6 linked regions of the Mus musculus genome follow. The protein of the gene in region 1 interacts with the protein of each later gene in a biochemical or structural test. Links are inferred from orthologs where the notes say so. Each region holds a gene or a part of one and is shown in the gene's direction. Other genes may lie near its edges. The genes, in order: Map3k7, Nod2, Usp4, Tab1, Trim31 and Ikbkb.

Region 1 (3,515 bases):
CAATAATGTGGCATATGGTTGGTCTGTATTTTTATAACTTTTTAAAAGTAATAAGCTAATTACCTATCATAAAGCTTACCCATGTGAAGTGTGATTTATTGATTTTTGTGAATTTACCCAGTTGTCAGCCATCACAGTCAACTTTCAAACACATCACCACCTTGGCAGGATACCGTTTACATTAATTCCTTTTTGATCCTTATCCCAAGGCAATCACTGACCTGCTTGCTGTCCCTAGATTTCTCCTGGGCATTTTATAAATGGGCATTGTAATATGAGGTATTGGGGTGGGGGTCATTGTGTAGACAGTAACACATTTTGCGTGTCCTTCATAGTGGGCCTTTTATATATATCTTTAGCCCTTTTCCTTCCATTTCTTACCCCCAATTAGAGTTATTTGAAAGCTGATTTTATTTTCTTTAAATAGTATATGTTCTTTTTCATTTTTATTTTTCTGAACCACTTCTCAATCATCTTTACTTTAATTTTCTACTGTGATTAAAAATTGCCTTATGTCTTCATGTATTTTTTGTGTTTCTGCTTTAGAATTAAGAGGTTCATTTCAAAGATTAAAACTGCATTTTATCTTCACTTTAATGAAAAACTCATTCTTAGCAAATTCAGATAATGGTGGTTTCTAAACCTTTGATGAGACTTAAAAACTGCCTCTATCATATTAAACTCTGCTTCTGATTTTTGGGGGTTTTCTATTTGTTTGTTTGTTAACTCAGGTTGTCGGAAGAGGAGCTTTTGGAGTAGTTTGCAAAGCTAAGTGGAGAGCAAAAGATGTCGCTATTAAACAGATAGAAAGTGAGTCTGAGAGGAAGGCTTTCATTGTGGAGGTAAGCTGAGACGTTATTTGTATCCACTAATTCTTCACCAGAGCTACTCTGATCTTAAGACTATAAAACACAGTGTTTCCCACCTTTCTTTTTTCTGTGTACATGGACGTTAGCAGTTGACTGAACTGAAAGTAGTGCCTCCATAGGAATGTTTTTCATTTTTTTGCTTTAAATTCTGGTTAAAAGTTATTAGGGGAAAGTATAGTTACAAGAGTCGCTCCATGAATTCAAGTGCACTTATCCACGGGTTCCAAATGTATCTCAAGGTTTCCTATCTTAATTTTAAAGTGGTATTATTCCTCCCAATACCTAAAGTTAAGAATTTCTTAGAATGTTATAGAAATAAACACCTTTCTAGTGAGAAACTACTCCACACACTTAGACTTATAAGAAAAAGCTCTTGACTGAAAGTGTGGCCAACTGTGGCTAGCACCCAAAGAGGGACCAACCTCAAATAAAAGATTTACTAACTTAATTCACTTTAGGCTTATGCATTCCACAGATTCTGTCATCCTTAAATCTCTTCTAGGTCCTGGCCCCGGGTTACACTTTAAAAAATATAAGTCAGGAGACTGTAAGTCTGGCCACTTACACAGATGAGAGATTTGCATAGTGCCAGAATTATTATTATAACCAGGGTTTTTTCTTTTCAAATGGTTGTTATCTAGGGTCTTCTTGCCCATCTGGCAGAATTATGTTTTTGTCAAGAAGAGAACAGGGGGCTTTATGCAGCCCAGGACTTAACTTTAGCTGTGACCTTGAGCTGCCCCTTACGCAGCCAGTTAGAGGCAAGTTCTTTGGGGGTGGCCAGTGAATCCTGGTGAGCAGACATTTACATGATAACAAAGTAGTTTAGCTCATCACCTTCTGTCTGGTTAGCAGACTACTTAGCTTTGGGGCATTTTGGAGGCAGCAATGCCTTAAAGTTTAGTCTGTGTGGTTGCTGTCTCCTAGAAAAATCTGTTAGTAAGCCCTTTATAACATCAGCTTTATTCGTTTTGAGTTTCTTCTACATAATGGGTTTTATGAAATTAACCATGTTGCTGCTCTTGTTTTCATTGCTTGGTTCTAGGTCTGCTGGGCCAGTTATTACTCATCACTAGCTTGTCAACTTCCAGATGGTATACTATTATCTCATTGCAGTCTCTTCATCCTCCTGAGTTTCTACCTCACAAACAACAACAAAACCTCACCTACTTATGAGACTCAGAGAAAACGGAAAAACATGCTTGAATAATGTGCTATGTGAAGTTAATGATGAGTTTTGTCAAGATGGAATGTTGATAGATAATAAATACATAATAGTAAAAAGTTACATGAAATAACATTTTAGAAAAGAGTCCGCTAATTTTCTAAGGATGAAAAGTCCATGAATATCAACTATAAAGAAAACTGTCCAGTGGCATATGATAAAAAAGAGGTTAAGTTATGGGACTGTGGAGAAAAGCAGGAGAGAGCAGGGGAAAGAGGGGGACGAGGGAGAGAGAAGGAGCAACATGATGTTGTATGAGAAAGACACAGTGCAGAAACTTGATACCTTACACTGGGGACCAGCCTCAGTGTAATTCCTGGCTTGGGGAAGGCTGAGACCGGAAGTTGGAGTGTCAGTCTGTCTCTCCTACCCCTGAAGCTCCTCTCCACTTTTTTGTACTGGGGATTGACTTGGGATATATGGTGGACTGGAGCTAAAGCCTAAGGCGTACTAGTCAAATGCTCCACAACTGAATGCCCCCCCCTTCCACTCACACGCACACGCACACACACACACACACACACACACACACACACACCAAGCTCTCTGCAGTAACTACAAGACAGGAAATGAAATTAGAGGCAACTAACTATTCAGACAGAGCATGTATTTCATGTCAGGTAAACAGAAGCTCAAATCTGACTATAGAATCTTTCACAGCTGCTTTATCCTCTCTGGAGCTTAACCTCAAGGGTCATATTAAAATGGAAGTAATAGGTCCTATCTTTCAGAGTCTGAACGCAGCAGGAATACATACAGAATAAGTAAATTGATACCTGTAGGAAAGTACCACACTTCTGGTGTGGGTGGCTCAGTCAGTACCATAACTGAGATGGTGCCTTGACTTTTGGCAGCTGGTTTCCTCAGTTTATCCTGGCTTGTTCTTAACTCCCATTACAGCACTTTGTGCATGGTTTAATGATCTCTCTGTCTTCATATATTTGATTATGTCTGTGTCCCCACTTGAACTGTAGGATAGGGATTCTACAGGCACTGGGGATTGCCACTGCCTGTGGCCATCGTGGTAACAGAACATACCTGGTATGATTTGAACAAATGTTCTATATAAGATTTGAACAGCACGGGTACATAGCACCTGAAAACCCAGCACTTCTTAAGGACCCATAATTTGTTGCAGCTCCGGCAGTTGTCACGTGTGAACCATCCTAACATTGTCAAGTTGTATGGAGCCTGCCTGAATCCAGTAAGTCCCTCTCCATCTCCTACAGGAAACAGTGGCAAGTGTGTCCGTTTATATGATTTATAAGGCTGTTTTCATCTGTTCCACTGTAGCTTTATTTCTGAAAATATTTTCTGCATTTCGTTTGCTTCAAGCCCTAACAAGACAGTATGTTGGTGTTGTCATCTCAGGTACCTATTAGCCTTGGCCACACCAACTTATAGTGCTCCTTTATCTTGAG
Region 2 (3,984 bases), on another chromosome or scaffold:
GTTAGCGCACAGTCTTTGGTGCCTGAGGCCTGGGACACATCACGGTGTTGACAGGCTAGTGAATTTTTTTGTGCTTCAGTTTCTTCATCCGTAAGCCTGGGACAAGAGGAGTGCCCTACAGGTGGGGTTAAGAGACTTACTGAGAGCAGAGGCCAGCACAATACTAAGTGTCAGTTTCAGAAGGAACTCCCCAGACAGAAGGCTAAAGGGAGTATCTATTAGCATACCAAAGCACCAAAGCCTGTGGTGGCCTCCAGGCTCCCTCATAACCTGTAGCTCTCCATAGTTCTTACCCTACATCCCAACTCTAAGCTTCTCCAGCTTGTGGGCTTCCCTCCCCCAACTTCTCATTCCCATAAAACCCTGCCATTTGGCTGTGCTCTCTCTTGGCTCTCTCTCTCTCTCTCTCTCTCTCTCTCTCTCTCTTCTCCCTCTCCCCACCCCACATTGGTTGTCTCTTTCTCTTCCTCTCATGGTCATGTCCCCGCTGACCATGTTCAAGCTGCTATTTTCCCTGCTCTGGACTCTTCCAGATGCCTCCGGCTGTACCCTTCCTCATATCTACAATACAAATCTTCGGAACCTCAACCATACCTTGGAAGTGGTTTATACACAATTTCATGTCTGGGTCAATTATTCTCTCCTCTCCCTTTCTCTCTCAAATGAGAGTTCATGTACAAGTCTTTTTAGAAGTAACATTAAGAATGGGAACTAAACAACGCTGGCGAATTCCGATTAGGATGGTGGCAGAGCCCAGCCTAGGAGGCTACGTTGGAGGCAAGTGCTATTACACTTAGACCTCTTTCCTCAGCTTGCATGGGACTGACAACCAAGGGGAAAAGAGGAACTTTAAATGCCCTAACACCACCCAGCACGGCCTTCTGGGAATGCCTCCATTAAGACTGTAGCTGACTAAGGGCTTACAAATCCCTGAGAGGGTGCATCGGCTCCTACTGACACTGAGGGCTTTCCTAGCTCTTGTTCCCAGGACTCTGGTTCCCTTGTGATTGAAACCGGTCCCCAAGGGCAGAACACAAAGCACTGCAGGCAGGCCTGTTCCCGGATACCTGTCTCACCAGTCCCTAGAGGGAAATCAGGAGGGGTGTGGCCGCCCTTCCCAGCCTGCCAGAGTGGGCGGGGTCTCTGGCTAGGTGGGTGGGGCGATGGGCGGGAGTAGATCACTGAGGGAGTCCTAGTGTGGAGTCACCGCAAAACTGGCGAGGGATCCCCACGCTGCAGCTGGCGGTGAGTGCTTGCTTTCTGGTTCTGTGGTCTGCGGGTGATCGGGGTGGGTGGATATGTGGAAAGGAGGGTTTTCTCGCGGGGAGACCGAGGACTCCCGGGCAACAGCGCTTGGTTTTGTGGAGATCACGACCGTCACAAGTCCCATCGCGGGGACGCTGTTAACTGGCTCTGGAGCTGGCCTGGCTGAGCTCCTGAAAGGGACTCTGTTTCTCCTGGAAGCATCGACGGAGTAGATAGGCTGTAAAAGGAAAGGGATGTCTCGAGGGGAGCCACGGCAGGCTTTGGTAACTGAGAAGGAATAGGGTATTGGGACCAAATTGAAGCCCCCAGGATCCTTTGAAGTCTGAGGCGAGGCTGTGATTTGGAGGTGGCTGGGACAACGGAGGGGAAACTTGCAGGTGAGGTCCTTACCCAGAGGGAGAAAACCCTGCTTTGGGTCTTAGCAGGAACTATTCCTGGTTCAGTTCCCCCCACCCCCTTCTCTCTAACTTCTGTGTCTTTTTCAGAACCTGCAGGGTCCTGGCCTGGGGCAGGGACATTGGCTTTTCTGTATGTAATCTCACCCACGGTTGATACCCTGCAGGGGAAATGCCCCCTCCCTCATCTCTGCCCTCCTGAAGACCAAAGAGTCAGCCCCATTGGCTCTGGTCTGCTCAGTCTGTTGTGAGGCCTTTGGGGCTCCCAGTTTCTTGGCCACTTAATGCCAGTTGGCCTCCACATGCAGCTCCAAGCTGGCACTGGCTCCATCTTGTCCCCTCTCTCCCACCCAGGTCAGCATTGTAGGGTGGCCCAGTGAGCAGACGCTTACTGCTAACAAAGTGGCTTCTATAGCTGTTTGGCCAAAGTCTGTGCCTTGCAACTCTCTGGTTCCACAGCCACCCCCGCCCCCACGCTGTGTGGAACAAACACATCCTCAGCCCATGCAGACCCCATCTGTACACTGGGTGATGCACAGGGATATGGTGAATACATCATGCTAACACATGCCATCTCAGAGGATAGGAAGTACTGTGGGGAGAAAAAGCTGGGACAGGGCTTAGGGGCTACAGTTTTGCATAGCATAGGAAGGCACCTCTGAGAGAGTCACCACTGAGCAAAGTCTTAAGGAGGGGATTGGCAAGTCATGTGACTATCTAGGGGGAGCTAGAGAAAGCCCCCACTGTGTGTGTGTGTGTGTGTGTGTGTGTGTGTGTAGGTAGGGAGGGAGGAGCTTATAGAAGCATGACAGACCAGAGCAGGGTGTAAATGGAGGGATGAATTGGAGGGCTGGGGGTGGATGGTGGGTGGCAAGGAGGAAAGGGGTGGCATCTGAGGTCTCTTGTATTGGGCTTGAGTTCGCCATAAAAGCTTTTGGCTTTCGCTTTGACTCTGATGGGAGCCATGAACAGATAAGGCTCCTGCTCTGACTTAAGGTTTGGCAGGGTTCATCAAGTTGTGAGGCTGAGACTGCCTATGGAGGTTCATGGCAGATGAGGGAAACATGAAGGGAGGCTATAGAGCTTACATCATGGCATAGAGAGAACCTGTGGCTTTCAGATTTGGAGTCTGTTGGAGGTTGGATGGATAGTCTGTGATGCTGGAGAGAGGCAGCGTCAAGCATGACTCTGAGAGTTCGGGGCTGCCTTCGTCTGCGAGGGGAGCTGATAGGAGGGAGAGCCGGTGATTGATTTTGTATTTGTCTTTTGGAGATGTTGGTAGGTACCACATGATGTTGAATAGTGTCCAGTAACATTTCAGTCATCGTTATCTCACAGTTGGGAATTGGGCCTGTGGGCAGAGACGCATCAGTGATTTGTACTTGGGGGTGGGGTGGGGGACTAGGAATCAGCCTTGGAGGCAGAATGGATAGAAAGAGCAGCTGGGAAGCAGGGAAGAATATCAGTGAAACCCTTCATGACTTCCAGAGAAGTGCTCCAGGGAGGAAGGTGACAGAAAGAAAGGCAGAGAACAGAACAAGTGGAAATCATGGTTTGTATTCTCTCTGGTAGTGGGTGTGGGAGGGGATGAAGGAGATGGGGTGGATTTGGGAATGGCAGTTCAGGTCCAGACAAGGGAGGGCAGAAATGAAGGATGAATTGATCTGTTTGTTCTCTGATGGGAACTGGTTTCCTGGGGAGCAACTCAGACATGGGGCAGGAGAGGAGTTAGTTAGTGCTCCAGGGAGATCTTAGCCAGTCAGGACTAGGACAGCTCAGGGCTGCATTCTGCTCTCCTCTTGCTGCCTTCCTTTCTCTCCCGTCTGCTGGAGGCCTGGGGGCACTGCAAAGGGATTTCAGCCCTTGAACAAAGTCCTCAGCTAGGAACTTCAGGAACACCAGGCTACCTATGATCCTGGATAGGAAGGAAGTGCCAAGAAACAGACATGGGCCTTTGTTGATACCCTTGACCCTCTGTTTCAGAAAGGAAGTGACCCCCTTTGTTTGGGTTGCACCTTGCAGAGCCTAAGAGTGACTCCAATGTGGCACTAGCCTGGTAGAGAAGGCAAGGATGACAAAGCAGTGTGTTTAGCCTGGGGAGAGCAAGTCTGACAAGGGAGGAAGGTACAAGAACGAGATTCTGGGACTAACTAATAAAGAACTTCTTCAGCCTGTCAGGAGGACAGCTTCAAGCCCAGGTCTTCTTTTCCAGCTCTTTGGGATGAGATAGGGAGTTGGCCTTCTTAGAGGCAGAGGGCTGGCAGAATTGGTCTTTGGGGATATGTCTTGCCTTGTGTCTGCAGGAGACTGGCAAGATGGGAAT
Region 3 (3,515 bases), on another chromosome or scaffold:
AGTTTTTTAGGTTTTGCTTTGAAGCCTGACGTAGGCTAGGCCGGGTACACGTGAAGTAGGTCAGACTGTAGGTCTACATCAAGCATCTCTGTACTGACTTCAGACCAGAGACAGTCAGAGACAGCGCTTCAGGAGAGTCACCTCCAACCTCCTTGTTCCCAGTCCTCAAACTCCTTCTGTAGCTGACACCCTAGCAGCACCTGGTCCTCCTGTCCCGTCTGCTAGGCACAGGGTTAACAGATGTATACTACCACCATGCCTGTCATCTTCTCCTTTTTTTTTCTTTTTTTTTTTTGGTTTTTCGAGACGGGGTTTCTCTGTGTAGCTCTGGCTGTCCTGGAACTCACTCTGTAGACCAGGCTGGCCGCCAACTCAGAAATCCGCCTGCCTCTGCCTCCCGAGTTCTGGGATTAAAGGCGTGCGCCACCATGCCCGGCTTTTTCTTCTTGAGACAAGATGTTACAATATAGACCTGGCTGGTCTGGAACTCGACAGGGATGCACCAGCCTCTACCTTCTGAGTGCAGGAATCAAGTGTGTGTGCTATCACACCTGGTTTCTATTTAAAAAAAAAAAAAAATCATCTGCCTTGGGTTACAGCTGAGTTGCACCTTCACGGGTACTTTCTTGTCTACACTGGTCTGAGATCAGTGACTTCTGTCATCCTCAGTGTGGGTGTTGATAAACAGGCTTAGCAGGGAGTACACTTTGTGGCTGACAGGTGATGAATCTTGTTGGATTTTCCGCTGAGTGTTTCATATACCTTTGTGATGGGTGTAAAATGCATGTTCAACATGTTACATATTTACTTTCCATTCCACACAGTGTCCATGAGAACTCTTTTTTTTTTTTAAAGGTTATTTGTTTTATGTATATGAGTACACTGAAGCTGTCTTCAGACACACCAGAAGAGGGAATCAAATCCCATTACAGATGGTTGTGAGCCACCATGAGGTTGCTGGGAATTGAACTGAGGGCTGTGGGCATGGTTGCTTGGGAAGAAAATACCCTACCCACCCCCACCCCTCACCCCCCTCCCAGCCCTCAGCACCTCATTCATTTGCCTTCTTAGTAAATGTTTCATGTGTAGATGGGGTCTGAGTTCAAGCACTATCAATAGGATTGCTATTATAAGTATTTATAATTATTAGCCATTGTACTCTCTTCTTCAGGACAGCCAGGGCTACACAGAGAAACCCTGTCTTGAAAAACAAAGCCAAACAAAAACCTATTCTTATTGAACTCAAGTTCATGGATTTGGCAGCAAGTACCTTTACCTGCTGAGCCATCTCCCCGGCTCATTTTCCCTCCAGTCTCCTTCCTGTCATCTCTGCAGTGGAGGCAGGAAGATCAGAAATTAAAGGTCATCTTTGGCTGTGTAGAATTCAAGGTCACGCTGTACTGCATGTGACCCTCAAAACAGACGACAAAAATGAGAAGGGGGCAAGTAGGGCAGGGGATTTGGGAGGGCTTGGGGAAAGGCAAAAAATATGGCTAAAATATAGCTCAATAAATTTTATTTTAGAATTACTTTTTACCCCTATATATCCTTGGCTGTCCTGGAGCTCCTACATAGACCAGGCTGACTCTAAATTCACAAAAATCCACCTACCACTGCCTCCCAAGTCCTCAGATTAAAGGGTGCACCACCATGTTCACCTTCAATACATTTGACTTCAGAAGAAGAAAATGAACAGAGAGGCTCCTTTCCTCTCCATCCTTCCTCCTTGTTCTTTTTGACATGGAGTCTAGCTGTGTTGCCCAAGCTGACCTTGAACTTCGGGGCTTAACCTATTCCTCCTCAGCTTCCTGCGTAGTGGAGACTATGAGGATGAACCACGGACTCCAGCTCACTTTTCTCTCATTATAGAAGAGATACAAGTTCCTCATAGAACAAGACTCAGGATAAAGAGTGGGCAGGTCTGCTTTGTTTTGTAGCCAGTGACAGTGTTTTGGAATATTGTGCTTGTTCCTGTTGAATCTTTTCTTATGAAAAATACATAAGAATCTTGTTTCAAAAAACAAGCAACCAAACAAAAAGAAACTTCTGGGGAAAAGAAAAATGAGATCTGCCCTGATTTCCTTTTTCAGATCCTGAGAGTCAGACCTTGAAGGAGCACTTAATCGATGAGCTGGACTATGTGCTGGTCCCAGCCGAAGCCTGGAATAAATTGCTGAATTGGTATGGCTGTGTGGAGGGCCAGCAGCCTATTGTCAGAAAAGTGAGTTGACAAGTTGTTAGACCTGCTAGGTGTGTATGTGAGTTCTCCTTGGGTACACTGACTTCTCTTTATTTCCCGGGAGGATGAAAACGGTTACATGGTTGAAAATGAAGCAGGTGAGACTTTGTAATGTTTTTGGATTTTGGTTTGTTTTTGTTTTTGAAACAGGGTTTTTCTGAGTATCCCTTACTAGTAAGTAGTTCTGGAACTTTCTATGTAGCCCAAACCAGCCTCAAACTCAGAGATCCCTAAGTACTGAGATTAAAGATGTACCAGGCTTTAGACCTTGTTTATGTTTCCTGAGACAGGATCTCTGTGTATCCCGGGCTGGTCTTGTTCTGGTCATCTCCTGCCTCTTGTATGCTGGAATTTTGGCCTGAATGACTATTCTACTTCTCTCTGGGATATGAAGTATTTGTGAGTAACTCAGGATGTTCCTAAGTGGCCTCCAAATACAAGAGCTGCCTGCTGGTTTGGAATGCCCATAGTACTTGGAACCCAGCTCTTCAGTTGGGCTGTGTGGACATAATCGAATGCATTGCACCTTGCACCGCTTCCTTTTCCCCAGGACTGGGAGTGAACCTAGGGCCGAATAGAATACATGACTCACTGAGTGTCCTAGCACTGAGCTATATCCAGCCCTCTTTTTTTTTTCTTTGAGATGGTGTTGTACTGAGTTAACCAGGCCAAATTTGAACTCACTTATAGCTCAAGTAGGCCTAGAACTTTGACCATTTTGAGCCTTTTCATTGAGGCTCCTGGATGTTGAGATAACTAGTGTGAGCCACCATGCTTACCTAACAACTTCTCTTTTTCTTTTTCTTTTTCTTTTCTTTTCTTTTCTTTTCTTTTCTTTTCTTTTCTTTTCTTTTCTTTTCTTTCTTTCTTTCTTTCTTTCTTTCTTTCTTTCTTTCTTTCTTTTTAGATTTATTTATTTATTAAAGTACACTGTTGTTGTCTTCAGGCACTCCAGAAGAGGGCGGCAGATCTCATTATGGATGGTTGTGAGCCACCATGTGGTTGCTGGGATTTGAATTCAGGACCTCTGGAAGAAGTCAGTGCTCTTAACCACTGAGCCATCTCTCCAGCCCTCTAACAACTTTTCTAAAGCCATTTCCCCTGTGCTCATGAGTCTGATTGTACTGCTGAGTAGTAAAAACGTAGGTGTTTATATGCATAGGAGAACTTCTCAAGTTCTCACACTGAGACACACAGCTTTGTGCCTTTGGTGGACAGAACACATGAGATCACTGCCTTGTCTCTCAGCTACTAGCTTTTCTTACTAGAAAGGAAT
Region 4 (2,546 bases), on another chromosome or scaffold:
TGCTGCTGTTCCTGCCACCACCTCTGTGGATGGAAGGGCCTGGTAGACATCTGGGCATCCTGGGTAGCCGTGTGCTGTCCCCAGCACAATCAGCATAGCCCTCCCTCCCCACCAGGCTTCCCCAGGAAACCAGCAGCTGTGTCCACAAAGCCAAGCAGGCAAGCTTCACGCTTCTCAGCCTGACTGCCCGAGCCTCACAGATCTCCTCCCCTGGCGCTGAGTCTTATTCTGTCACCTAGGTCAGCCTGTCTTTAAAAACATCTCACCCAGCTGACTTCTGTAGGATACTGGGGAGAGAGAGAGAGGCCTGAGCCTAAAGGGCCGCTCTTTTCACCGGTGGGAAGTTGAGGGCCCCTGATGCAGCTCCCCCAGACTGACTGCTCTCTCTTCTTCTGTAGCCAGAGCCCCACTCTGACCCTGCAGTCCACCAACACGCACACCCAGAGCAGCAGCTCCAGCTCTGACGGGGGCCTCTTCCGCTCCAGACCGGCTCACTCACTTCCACCCGGAGAGGATGGCCGTGTGGAGCCCTATGTGGACTTTGCTGAGTTCTACCGACTCTGGAGCGTGGACCACGGCGAGCAGAGCGTGATGACGGCACCTTAGTCTAGCCTCAGAGTGCAGCCTGGGCACAACTTTGTGTAGACACAGAGGGCCAGTGCCAAAGCAAGACAAGCTTCCTGACCTTTGCGGGGGCCATGGAACCCTCGGGCAGTGAGTCATGACGTGCTGCAGGTTCAACCACAGCCCTGGGCTGTGGCCTGAGTACAGACTGCATTGCTGCTGGTCCACACAGGAGGCTGGAGTCCAGACCACAGGCATCCTAAGACAGGGCCAAGCGGGAAAGCTGCAGGTAGCTTACAAACCATCACGAGTGCCTCCTGACACGTTTAAAGACTAGCAAGATGCCGTCCTGTGGACCCCAGCTACCAAAGGCCAGACAGACACTGCTCCCTCAAGACTCCTCCACCTGCTTCAGCTTCCCCCGGAAGAGCTGTGGCCTCTGCGAGTGCCCGTTACCTCTGGGTGGCTATCCCCTTTCCACCTTTCAGCCCAAACTCCTAGATCCAGAGTAGCGAATAACAGGAGTGGGTGCCTGTCACTGGATGTCACTGGAAAAGTCCAGGGAAGCAGAGGGGTTATTAACAGCCACAGAGGAGCAAGACAAGGAAGTACCAGAGAGAGCTGGCCAAGGAATGCTAGTCCTGGGCTGCAGGTCAGCCAGCTGGCAGCTGAGCTAACTCAGAGAGCTGGCTTCCCAATGGGGTGCAGTTAGTAGGCCAGGCCCACCAGGCAGCTGCAGTTCTGCTTCTGCTAGATCCTGCCCTGGGGTGAGGCAGGCCAAGTCAGAAGCCAGTGCCTTCCTCCCAGCGGGTCCTGGGAAGCCAGTGATAGGGGGTGCTGAGGCAACAGACCTCACGCTGATGAGGAGGCTGCTTGGTTCCGGGCTCTGCCGAAAGAGGAGTGGGATACGGCTGTGAGAGGGCCGAGGTTGAGTCTTGCTCACCCAGAAGACCAAGGACATCAGGTGCAGTGATGCGGACGTGCAGGGAAAAGACTCTGCTGGTCAGGCCCTGACTGGGACCTGTTCACACAGAATCTCTCCCTTCAGACAGGAGGGTTACCACAGCTGCCTGCAGTGTGGCCACCCCTGTGCTCAGAGGAGAAAGGCTGGGTGCTCCTCTTACCTGAGCCCTTCCATCAGGATTAAATCTGCAGCCCTTTCCCCACTGTGTGCAGCTACTGGGCAGGGTGCCCAGTGTGGCCTGGTGGCAAAGGCCAATTCAGAGCACTTCTCAGACTCCATTTCCCTAAAGCGAGGCTGCTGGCTCCATGCTGAGGAGAAGCCCTGGGGTGATGGGAAGAAGAAGCCTTCCTGCTCTCCACTAGGAAGTCACCTCTGCCCTGCAGGTGCCCTGCAGGTGAGCAGCTCTCAGCTGGTGCACAAGGACATGGGACAAAGGAGGTCCTCCCCAAGGAATGTGGTGCTGTTTGGTCTCTAGAAATAGAACCATGTTCTTCATGCAGTAAAGATGTCATCTTGTCTATCTGTAACTTAAGCACCCAAAAGGTGGCTGCCTCCTGTTCTGCTCAGGAGGTTTGGGAGCCAGGCTTTCCGGACTGGTAAGTGGCAGTGCTGGGATTTGAACTCAGACCTCCTAGCTGCACACATCACTGCCCTCACCCACTGAACATGTGTTTTGCCACAAGCCTGCTGTCTGAGCTAAAGAAGGCAGTGGTATTCTGTTCTCCAGAGAGTGAGTCCAGGGATGGGGTGGGGTGGTAACTTCATGAGGCTTAGGTCACAGGTCAGGGCCCTTGCCCCTCCCCTGCCTCGCCCCCCCCCCCCAAGCTGGTTGGTTTTATTTGGTTGAAAGATCTCTTTAACATACCTCCTCTTTCTCATCTAAGGCCTTTACTCATCCATCTCTGGATCGCCTGCCTACAGGCTGAAAAGCTGTCTGCTTAGGAACAAAGCTGGGCTCTGTCCTCTATGGTCACTGGGTCCCCCACATCCTCCCCTCTGCTGGGCAGAGGCTCTTAGC
Region 5 (3,515 bases), on another chromosome or scaffold:
CACCCATGCCAAGCAACCACTCCATCAACTGAACTCCACCCTTACCCTGGGTTTTCAATGGTCATATTGTCTGTCTTTTGTGGAGATGGTGGCTCAAGTAGTTGAGCCTGGTCTTAACCTCCTGAAGTGCTGAGATTGCCTACTTGTGCACCAGCACATCTGGCTGGTGGCCTTAAGGCAAATGAAAGCATGCCATCTGGCCTAAATCTGTAAATACTTTGCTTCCCCTTTCCAACAGGTATGCCCAGAAGCTCTTCTGAATTGGTCTCAGTGTAATCTTTAAATACTCTTAAAGCATGAGTGGTGCCAGGTGGTGGTGCACGCCCTTAATTCCAGCACTTAGGAGGCAAAGGCAGGTGGAAATCAGGGCTATCCTGTTGTACTTAACGAGTTCTGGGCTATCTAGGGCTTTATAGTGAGACTCTGCCTAGAAAGAAAAAGAAGGATGGGAATTATGAATTTAAAGGAGGCTTGGAGGACCCTTCTCATGGTCATCTCATATCTGCATCCTCTCCTTCGTCCCCAGGCCCAGGTGGATCTAGAGAAACTAAAGATCCATGAGGAATTCAAGCTCCTGCGCCAGAGACTAGATGAGGAAGAGAGTTTCCTCCTGTCCAGGCTGGACTGGCTGGAGCAGCAGGGAGCCAAGCAGTTGAGACAATATGTCACTGTGACAGAGAAGCAGCTGAACTCTCTAAGGAAGCTCACTAAATCCTTGAAAATAAGGCTGCAATCATCATCCATGGAGCTACTAAAGGTGAGTCCTATGTGAATAAATAGATTCTCTCCTCTCTCTATTTCTCTATTTCTCTCCCTCTCTATTTCTCTCTCTCTCTCTCTCTCTCTCTCTCTCTCTCTCTCTCTCTCTCTCTCTCTCTCACACACACACACACACACACACACACCAGTTTTCTAAAAGACAGTTAAGAATCTGAGTTACATTATGGTCTAACAGCTCCAAATACCTGGCTGCTCAATGCCTTTTGTTACATAAATCTAAATTTTGAAAAAGCCTATGGGCTTCCTGAATTGATATAATAGTCAGATACTTTCCTTTAGAGAAATTTCCCTGACACTCCCTTCAGTGCCATCATCCCAACCATGACCCTTATCTTTCTTACTTTAAGGTATCACATTTGATAAAGCTCCTCACCAGGTTTCAGAGAGTAGCCTCTCCTTCCCCATAAGGCTCCATTCTGTTGTCTCTGACATATTGTGGTATTTCTTTCTATAGCTCTTCCACCCAAGGCCCTTTCTCCTAATAAGTCTCATTTAACAAAAAAAGAAAGAATTTATTTATTTATTTATTATGAATACAAGTATACTGTAGTTGTCTTCAGACACATCCAAAGAGGGCATCAGTTGTGAGCCATGATGTGGTTGCTGGGAACTGAACTCAGGACCTCTGCAAGAGCAGTCAGTGCTCTTAACCTCTGAGCCATCTCTCCAGCCCCTTAAGCCTCATTTTTAAAGTCTGTTTGGGTTTTTTTTTTTTTTTTTTGGTTTTTTCGAGACAGGGTTTCTCTTTATCGCTCTGGCTGTCCTGGAACTCACTTTGTAGACCAAGCTGGCCTCGAACTCAGAAATCCGCCTGCCTCTGCCTCCCGAGTGCTGGGATTAAAGGCGTGCGCCACCACCCCCAGCTTTTTTTTTTTTTTTTTTAATCACATACTTTCCTGAAATAATCCACCAACTGCTGTTCTTCTTCACCTAACCCAGAGGTCCTCAACCTGTGGGTCATGACCCCTTTTGGGGGTTGAACAACCCTTTAACAGGAGTCACAAAAGACCATCAGAAATATCAAATATTTATTTTACAATTCATAACAGTAGCAAATCTACAGTTATGAACTAGCAATGAAAATAATTTATGGTATGGGGTGGGAGTCACCATAACATGAGAACTGTATTAAAGGGTTACAGCATTAGGAAGGTTGAGAACCAAAGCCCCACCTATAACTCAGGGTGCGGAGGTAAGAAGATTGTTGCTAGTCCAAAGCTAGCATGAGCAAAGATCTAGACTGTCTCAAAGAGCTGGGCATGTTATCTGTGGAGGTTTGAATATGTTTGGACCAGGGAATGGTGCTACTAGAAGGTGTGGCTTTGTTGGAGTAGGTGTGTCACTGTAGGTATGGGCTTTGAGACCATCCTCCTAGCTGCCTTAGTCAGTCTTCTCCTAGTAGCCTTCAGATCAAGATGTAGAACTCTCAGCTCCTCCCTTGCCAGGCTTGCCTGGATACTGCCATACTCCTGCCTTGATGATAATGGATGGAACCTCTCAACCTGCAAGTCAGCCCCAATTAAATGTTGTTCTTTATAAAAGTTGCCGTGGTCATGGTGTCTCTTTACAGCAATGGAAACCCTAACTAAGATAATATCTCATACCTGTAATTCTAGCAAATCAGAATTGGGAGGACTTCCCAGAGCACTAGAGTTTAAGGCTAGCCTGGACACACACACACCACCACCATCCCTACCACCACCCCCCACCACCACCACCCCCCCCACACACACACACACATGAAAGAAAGAAGAAAAAGAAAGAGAGTCACACAAAATGTAGAACTTTTTCTTGTTTTTGAGACAGGATCCCCTGCAACCCGGGTGGCCTGGAATGGGTTATTGTTATGTAACCATGGATGACATCATCGAATCTTCCTACTCCCTAATCACGAGCTGAGATTTCAACATGTGCCATTACACCCAGCTCACAGTGTAGAACTATAACCTAGGACACATTTGTTACTTAGAAGTATACCTCAAGGCCAGAGAAATGTCTCATTGTGCAAAGGGACAAACCATCAAACCTGAGGACCCAAGTTCCATACCCAAGACCCACAGGGTGGAGGAACAGGGCCAAACCTCCCAAGGTTTCCTCTGACCTCCACCTGTAACTCCAGCTCCAGCAGGTCCAGATATCTCTGGCCTGCACTCACACACACAAACCCACACATAGACACACATATAAACACAATTTAAAGATTAAAAAAATAAAATATTTAAAAATAATTATTCTTAAAAAATAATAAATCTTAAAATACAAAATACAATAAAAATATATTTCCATCTGTATTTCTAGTAGCTACATTAAAAGGGAAGGGAAAAGACTCATGCATAGTGGCACATCTTTAATGCCAGAACTTGGGAGCCAGAGATAGGCAGTTCTCTGTGAGTTCAAAGTCAGCCTGGTCTACATGTGGAATTCCAGGCCAAGTAGAGCTACTCTGTTTCAAAAGAAAAATCAGATAAAAGTACATGTAATAAAAACATTCTAAACATTTTATTTAACCCAGTATTTCAAATATAATCATTTCAGCCTGCTTAAACATATTAATGAGCTATTTCATATTCTTGAGTGGTTTTTTGGTTCTAAGTCTTTGAATGCTAGTTTGTCTTTTGTACATTTCAATTTAGATGCCAAAGTACCAATTGTGGAGGTAAAATGTAATTAGTTCTACTAAACCAGTAAAGTGGCATTTAACTGAAAGTGTATTTGCAATGCTTTGGTTTTTAAAT
Region 6 (3,515 bases), on another chromosome or scaffold:
CATTGCCAAAATCATGTTTTGCTCTTCTAGTCAGGCACCTGTGCTAAGGCCATCGATGTGTGACATGGTGTCTGCCCCAAGGTGTGGAGTAGTTATGGAGGCTACAGCCTCTGCACAGGGAAGTGTGATGTGTTCAGGTCACAGGAGAAGCAAGCAGAGTAAACTAGAACATGATGTAAGGCAGGGGCAGGTTCAGATAAAAAGGGTAGGAGAGAAAGCAGGCTGAGTCACGCGTGCTTCTTAGGCTACGATGCTGCCCTCCACGTGCAAGTGGAACTGCTTTAAGACCAAGTAGCCGGAAAGGAAGGGTGGGATCCCCAGGTCTCATTGTTTTCTTGTCCCTCTGCAGACAAACGAGGGCCTCACGTTGGACATGGATCTTGTTTTTCTCTTTGACAACAGTAAAATCAACTATGAGACTCAGATCACCCCCCGACCCCAACCGGAAAGTGTCAGCTGTATCCGTAAGTGCATCATTTATTAAAACCCATCAGTTGCGATATTTAGGGTAAAGTTGGAGGAGCTCCTGGTTGTTTGGTTCTGAGTATATAAAGCCTCCTTTACTTGGAATGTGCAGAGAATAGTCCAGGCAAAGTACTGGTTAACTGCCTCTCACTAGAGGTAGGCACAGGGTTAAGAAATACCACCTACTTCTGTGGTTCATTTTTGAGGTTGCATTTATATTTCAATAACTAATGTGCATTGGAGGGTAAAAGCAAGAGGGGTCAGGAGCTCAGCCACATAGGATGTTCGAGACCAGCCTGGGCTACATGAGGCTCTGCTTATAAACAAGAATGACATTAACATAGGTACATGATACAAAAACAACACAAAGCCTCAAAAGATACCCAAAAAAGAATACATAAGGCAAAGTGAACACTCGGGCTCTAGTCCCCAGCCAGGAGGCTTGCCTTCTGTAGAACTACTGCTTCCAAGTGCTTGGGTATCCCCCTCAAAGAGACCACGATGACACAGACATGCACTGTTCTGTGTGTCCCTCCTCACCCAAGTCGCTCATTTCCTCTCCCTCATGTTGGAGGGCTGCATGGTGCTCCACTGCATGTTTGTTTGGTGAACATCTTACTAACCTAGCCCCGTTCTCAGCCCCCTTTCTCTCAGATACATACTTGGAGTAAACAGACCAAAGAGCTAATGTCTCCGAGATCTCCCAGGCTTCTTGATGATTTAAATATCTCTAGTATTTCTGGTTTCAGGCTTCATGTTAAAGTACTTGCTTAATTAACTTATTTGTCACCGTTGAGGGCCGTATGTGACACACTAGAGGTGTGCACATATAGAGGTCAGAGGACAACTTTGGAATAAGTTCTCTCCTCCCACTTTCATCCACATAGTCCCAAGGACGGAACTCTGGTCTCACCCACTGAGCCATCCCATATACTTTCATATTTCAGGAAAACTCCATACAACTGGTACTGGGCTTCTGGCTACATCATGGGTTCTCCTTTCTTCGACCCTTTTCCTGCCCTCTTCTACCCTTCCAAAGCCCTGACACTGAGTAGGAAAGAAAAAAGGAGAGAAGGACAGAGGGCAATGCCATTGTTAGACTACTTCCTGGTGGTTAGCAGTGTCGATTTCCTTGGGACAAGTTTGATCTTCCCTGACAGGATGTTTAATTTCTTCTTTTTGTCTTTTTGCACATGACAACTTGACAAACCTCAACCAACCACCAACCACCAACCAGCCAATCAGCCAACAGCTTCCCTCCTCCCCCAATTGGGGCTTTAGCATTTATATATATCCTCTGAAAAGTCCCCCTAATTCCAAATCTCACACACTCAAAACAAAACAAAACTATGTGCAGCTGGCAGAAGTCACACCCCTGCTAGATCATGAGGCAAATCATAGTCAGCTGCTGTGGACAGTCGGAAGCAGCCTGGCATCCCACACCTGGGATTAAAACAAAAACATTCTTATGTTTCTGTATTTAAAAAAAAAACAACAAAAACAAAAACAAAAAAAACCCCGAATTCTCACTATATACAACTTTAACTGTGCTGACAGTGAGAGCGTCTGTTGACAATCTATGGCGCGTGTGCTTGTGGTTCTTTCTCCACGTTGTCCCCAGCACAGGCTGACTTTGAACAGCAGACCTCCTGGCTCAGCCACCCGAGTGCTGGGATTACAGGTGCGCATGCATCACCATCAAATCACGTGGGAGCTTTCCGTTGGCCATCCCTTCTGCTAATGGAGCACCGAGTTGTTTAAACTAATAACAAACAACAACACCTGTAAAATGATGTAGCAGTATAGCAGTTATATAACTTGTAAAAATCGCGGCAATGCTGTAGGGCGGGATGTGGTTCCCTGCAGCTGCGTTCCCCTCTGACAACTGTTTGTTTCCAGTTCAGGAGCCCAAGCGGAACCTCTCCTTCTTCCAGCTGAGGAAAGTGTGGGGCCAAGTCTGGCACAGCATCCAGACGCTGAAGGAAGACTGTAACCGGCTGCAGCAGGGACAGCGAGCAGCCATGTACTGCGCCAGGCTGGCTTTACCTAATACGTTTTAAATTGCTTGTTGGCCTGAGAGGTGGCTGAGGCAGGGATCCAGAAGCAACTCTTAGGGGCTCTGGTTTGGACGACAGGGTGTGGTTGGGTGGCCTGGCTGGAGGGAGGCCCTCGGGCTGGCTAAGGCCAGGGCTTAGAGAATGGGGCAGGAGTGCAGAACTTGGGTCTGGGAGGCTCAGCTGCGTGGCACGTGGAGCTTGGAGAAGCTCAGTGAGCCTTGGGTTAACAATGGTGGTTAACTGGAGCTTGCCGACGGATTCTCCAATTAGGACGAAAGCCTAGGTGTAGAGTTTCACCTAGTTCCAACATTGATAGAGACCGTCATGGGTTTCTAGGAAGCTGCTTTGGTCACAGCGGTGGCTACAAGCGACGAGCCGAGGCTCCCTTGGCAAAGCGTTTTGTTACTACACAGGAAGTGTACTCAGATGCCGAATGTGTCCCAAGGCTCCATTCCTGTGTCTTCCCGTCCTTGCAGGATGAGTCTCCTCCGGAATAACAGCTGCCTCTCTAAGATGAAGAACGCCATGGCCTCCACGGCCCAGCAGCTCAAGGCCAAGCTGGACTTCTTCAAAACCAGCATCCAGATCGACCTGGAGAAGTATAAAGAGCAGACCGAGTTTGGGATCAGTGAGTGCGCTCTGCCTGCTGTGAGCCGGAAGCCGCTTCTCTCCGGTCTCTTTCTTTCTGAAGTTTCTTTGCCTTCTCTCTCTTTTTTTTCTCCCCACCCCCTTCTTTGTCCTCTTATGGTTCAGTTTTTAACTTCTGTTTGAGTTTTATGATGTTTCTGGTTTTCATTTTTTTTTCTTCTTTCTGTTTTTTCTTCCAGCCTCAGATAAATTGCTGCTGGCTTGGCGGGAGATGGAGCAGGCTGTGGAGCAGTGTGGGCGGGTAGGAGACTCACCCCAGGGCTCTGTGTTTCTGGCTGTGGCCGGAACTTGGCGCTACCATCTTCCACTCCCTTATCCAATACTGGCTTGAGCTGCTGTGTCAAA

Evidence for each region.
Region 2: the proteins of Map3k7 (region 1) and Nod2 form a complex in vitro, tested with the Homo sapiens proteins (2 studies listed by BioGRID). The link is inferred for Mus musculus from reciprocal best matches to the Homo sapiens genes MAP3K7 and NOD2.
Region 3: of the proteins of Map3k7 (region 1) and Usp4, one has a biochemical effect on the other in vitro, tested with the Homo sapiens proteins (2 studies listed by BioGRID). The link is inferred for Mus musculus from reciprocal best matches to the Homo sapiens genes MAP3K7 and USP4.
Region 4: of the proteins of Map3k7 (region 1) and Tab1, one has a biochemical effect on the other in vitro, tested with the Homo sapiens proteins (4 studies listed by BioGRID and IntAct). The link is inferred for Mus musculus from reciprocal best matches to the Homo sapiens genes MAP3K7 and TAB1.
Region 5: the proteins of Map3k7 (region 1) and Trim31 form a complex in vitro, tested with the Homo sapiens proteins (2 studies listed by BioGRID, with this or other methods). The link is inferred for Mus musculus from reciprocal best matches to the Homo sapiens genes MAP3K7 and TRIM31.
Region 6: of the proteins of Map3k7 (region 1) and Ikbkb, one has a biochemical effect on the other in vitro, tested with the Homo sapiens proteins (5 studies listed by BioGRID). The link is inferred for Mus musculus from reciprocal best matches to the Homo sapiens genes MAP3K7 and IKBKB.

The regions. Positions count from the first base shown.
Region 1 is NC_000070.6:31,974,092-31,977,606, forward strand, and holds part of Map3k7 (mitogen-activated protein kinase kinase kinase 7), read left to right. Parts: intron 1-731; coding exon 732-842; intron 843-3,232; coding exon 3,233-3,298; intron 3,299-3,515. UniProt on the Homo sapiens protein: Serine/threonine kinase which acts as an essential component of the MAP kinase signal transduction pathway. Plays an important role in the cascades of cellular responses evoked by changes in the environment.
Region 2 is NC_000074.6:88,646,165-88,650,148, forward strand, and holds the start of Nod2 (nucleotide-binding oligomerization domain-containing protein 2), read left to right. Parts: upstream 1-1,182; 5' UTR 1,183-1,245; intron 1,246-3,984. UniProt on the Homo sapiens protein: Pattern recognition receptor (PRR) that detects bacterial peptidoglycan fragments and other danger signals and plays an important role in gastrointestinal immunity.
Region 3 is NC_000075.6:108,354,321-108,357,835, forward strand, and holds part of Usp4 (ubiquitin carboxyl-terminal hydrolase 4), read left to right. Parts: intron 1-2,090; coding exon 2,091-2,221; intron 2,222-3,515.
Region 4 is NC_000081.6:80,159,676-80,162,221, forward strand, and holds the end of Tab1 (TGF-beta-activated kinase 1 and MAP3K7-binding protein 1), read left to right. Parts: intron 1-398; coding exon 399-606; 3' UTR 607-2,032; downstream 2,033-2,546. UniProt on the Homo sapiens protein: Key adapter protein that plays an essential role in JNK and NF-kappa-B activation and proinflammatory cytokines production in response to stimulation with TLRs and cytokines.
Region 5 is NC_000083.6:36,901,123-36,904,637, forward strand, and holds part of Trim31 (E3 ubiquitin-protein ligase TRIM31), read left to right. Parts: intron 1-526; coding exon 527-757; intron 758-3,515.
Region 6 is NC_000074.6:22,668,580-22,672,094, reverse strand, and holds part of Ikbkb (inhibitor of nuclear factor kappa-B kinase subunit beta), read left to right. Parts: intron 1-349; coding exon 350-464; intron 465-2,364; coding exon 2,365-2,488; intron 2,489-2,998; coding exon 2,999-3,150; intron 3,151-3,349; coding exon 3,350-3,411; intron 3,412-3,515.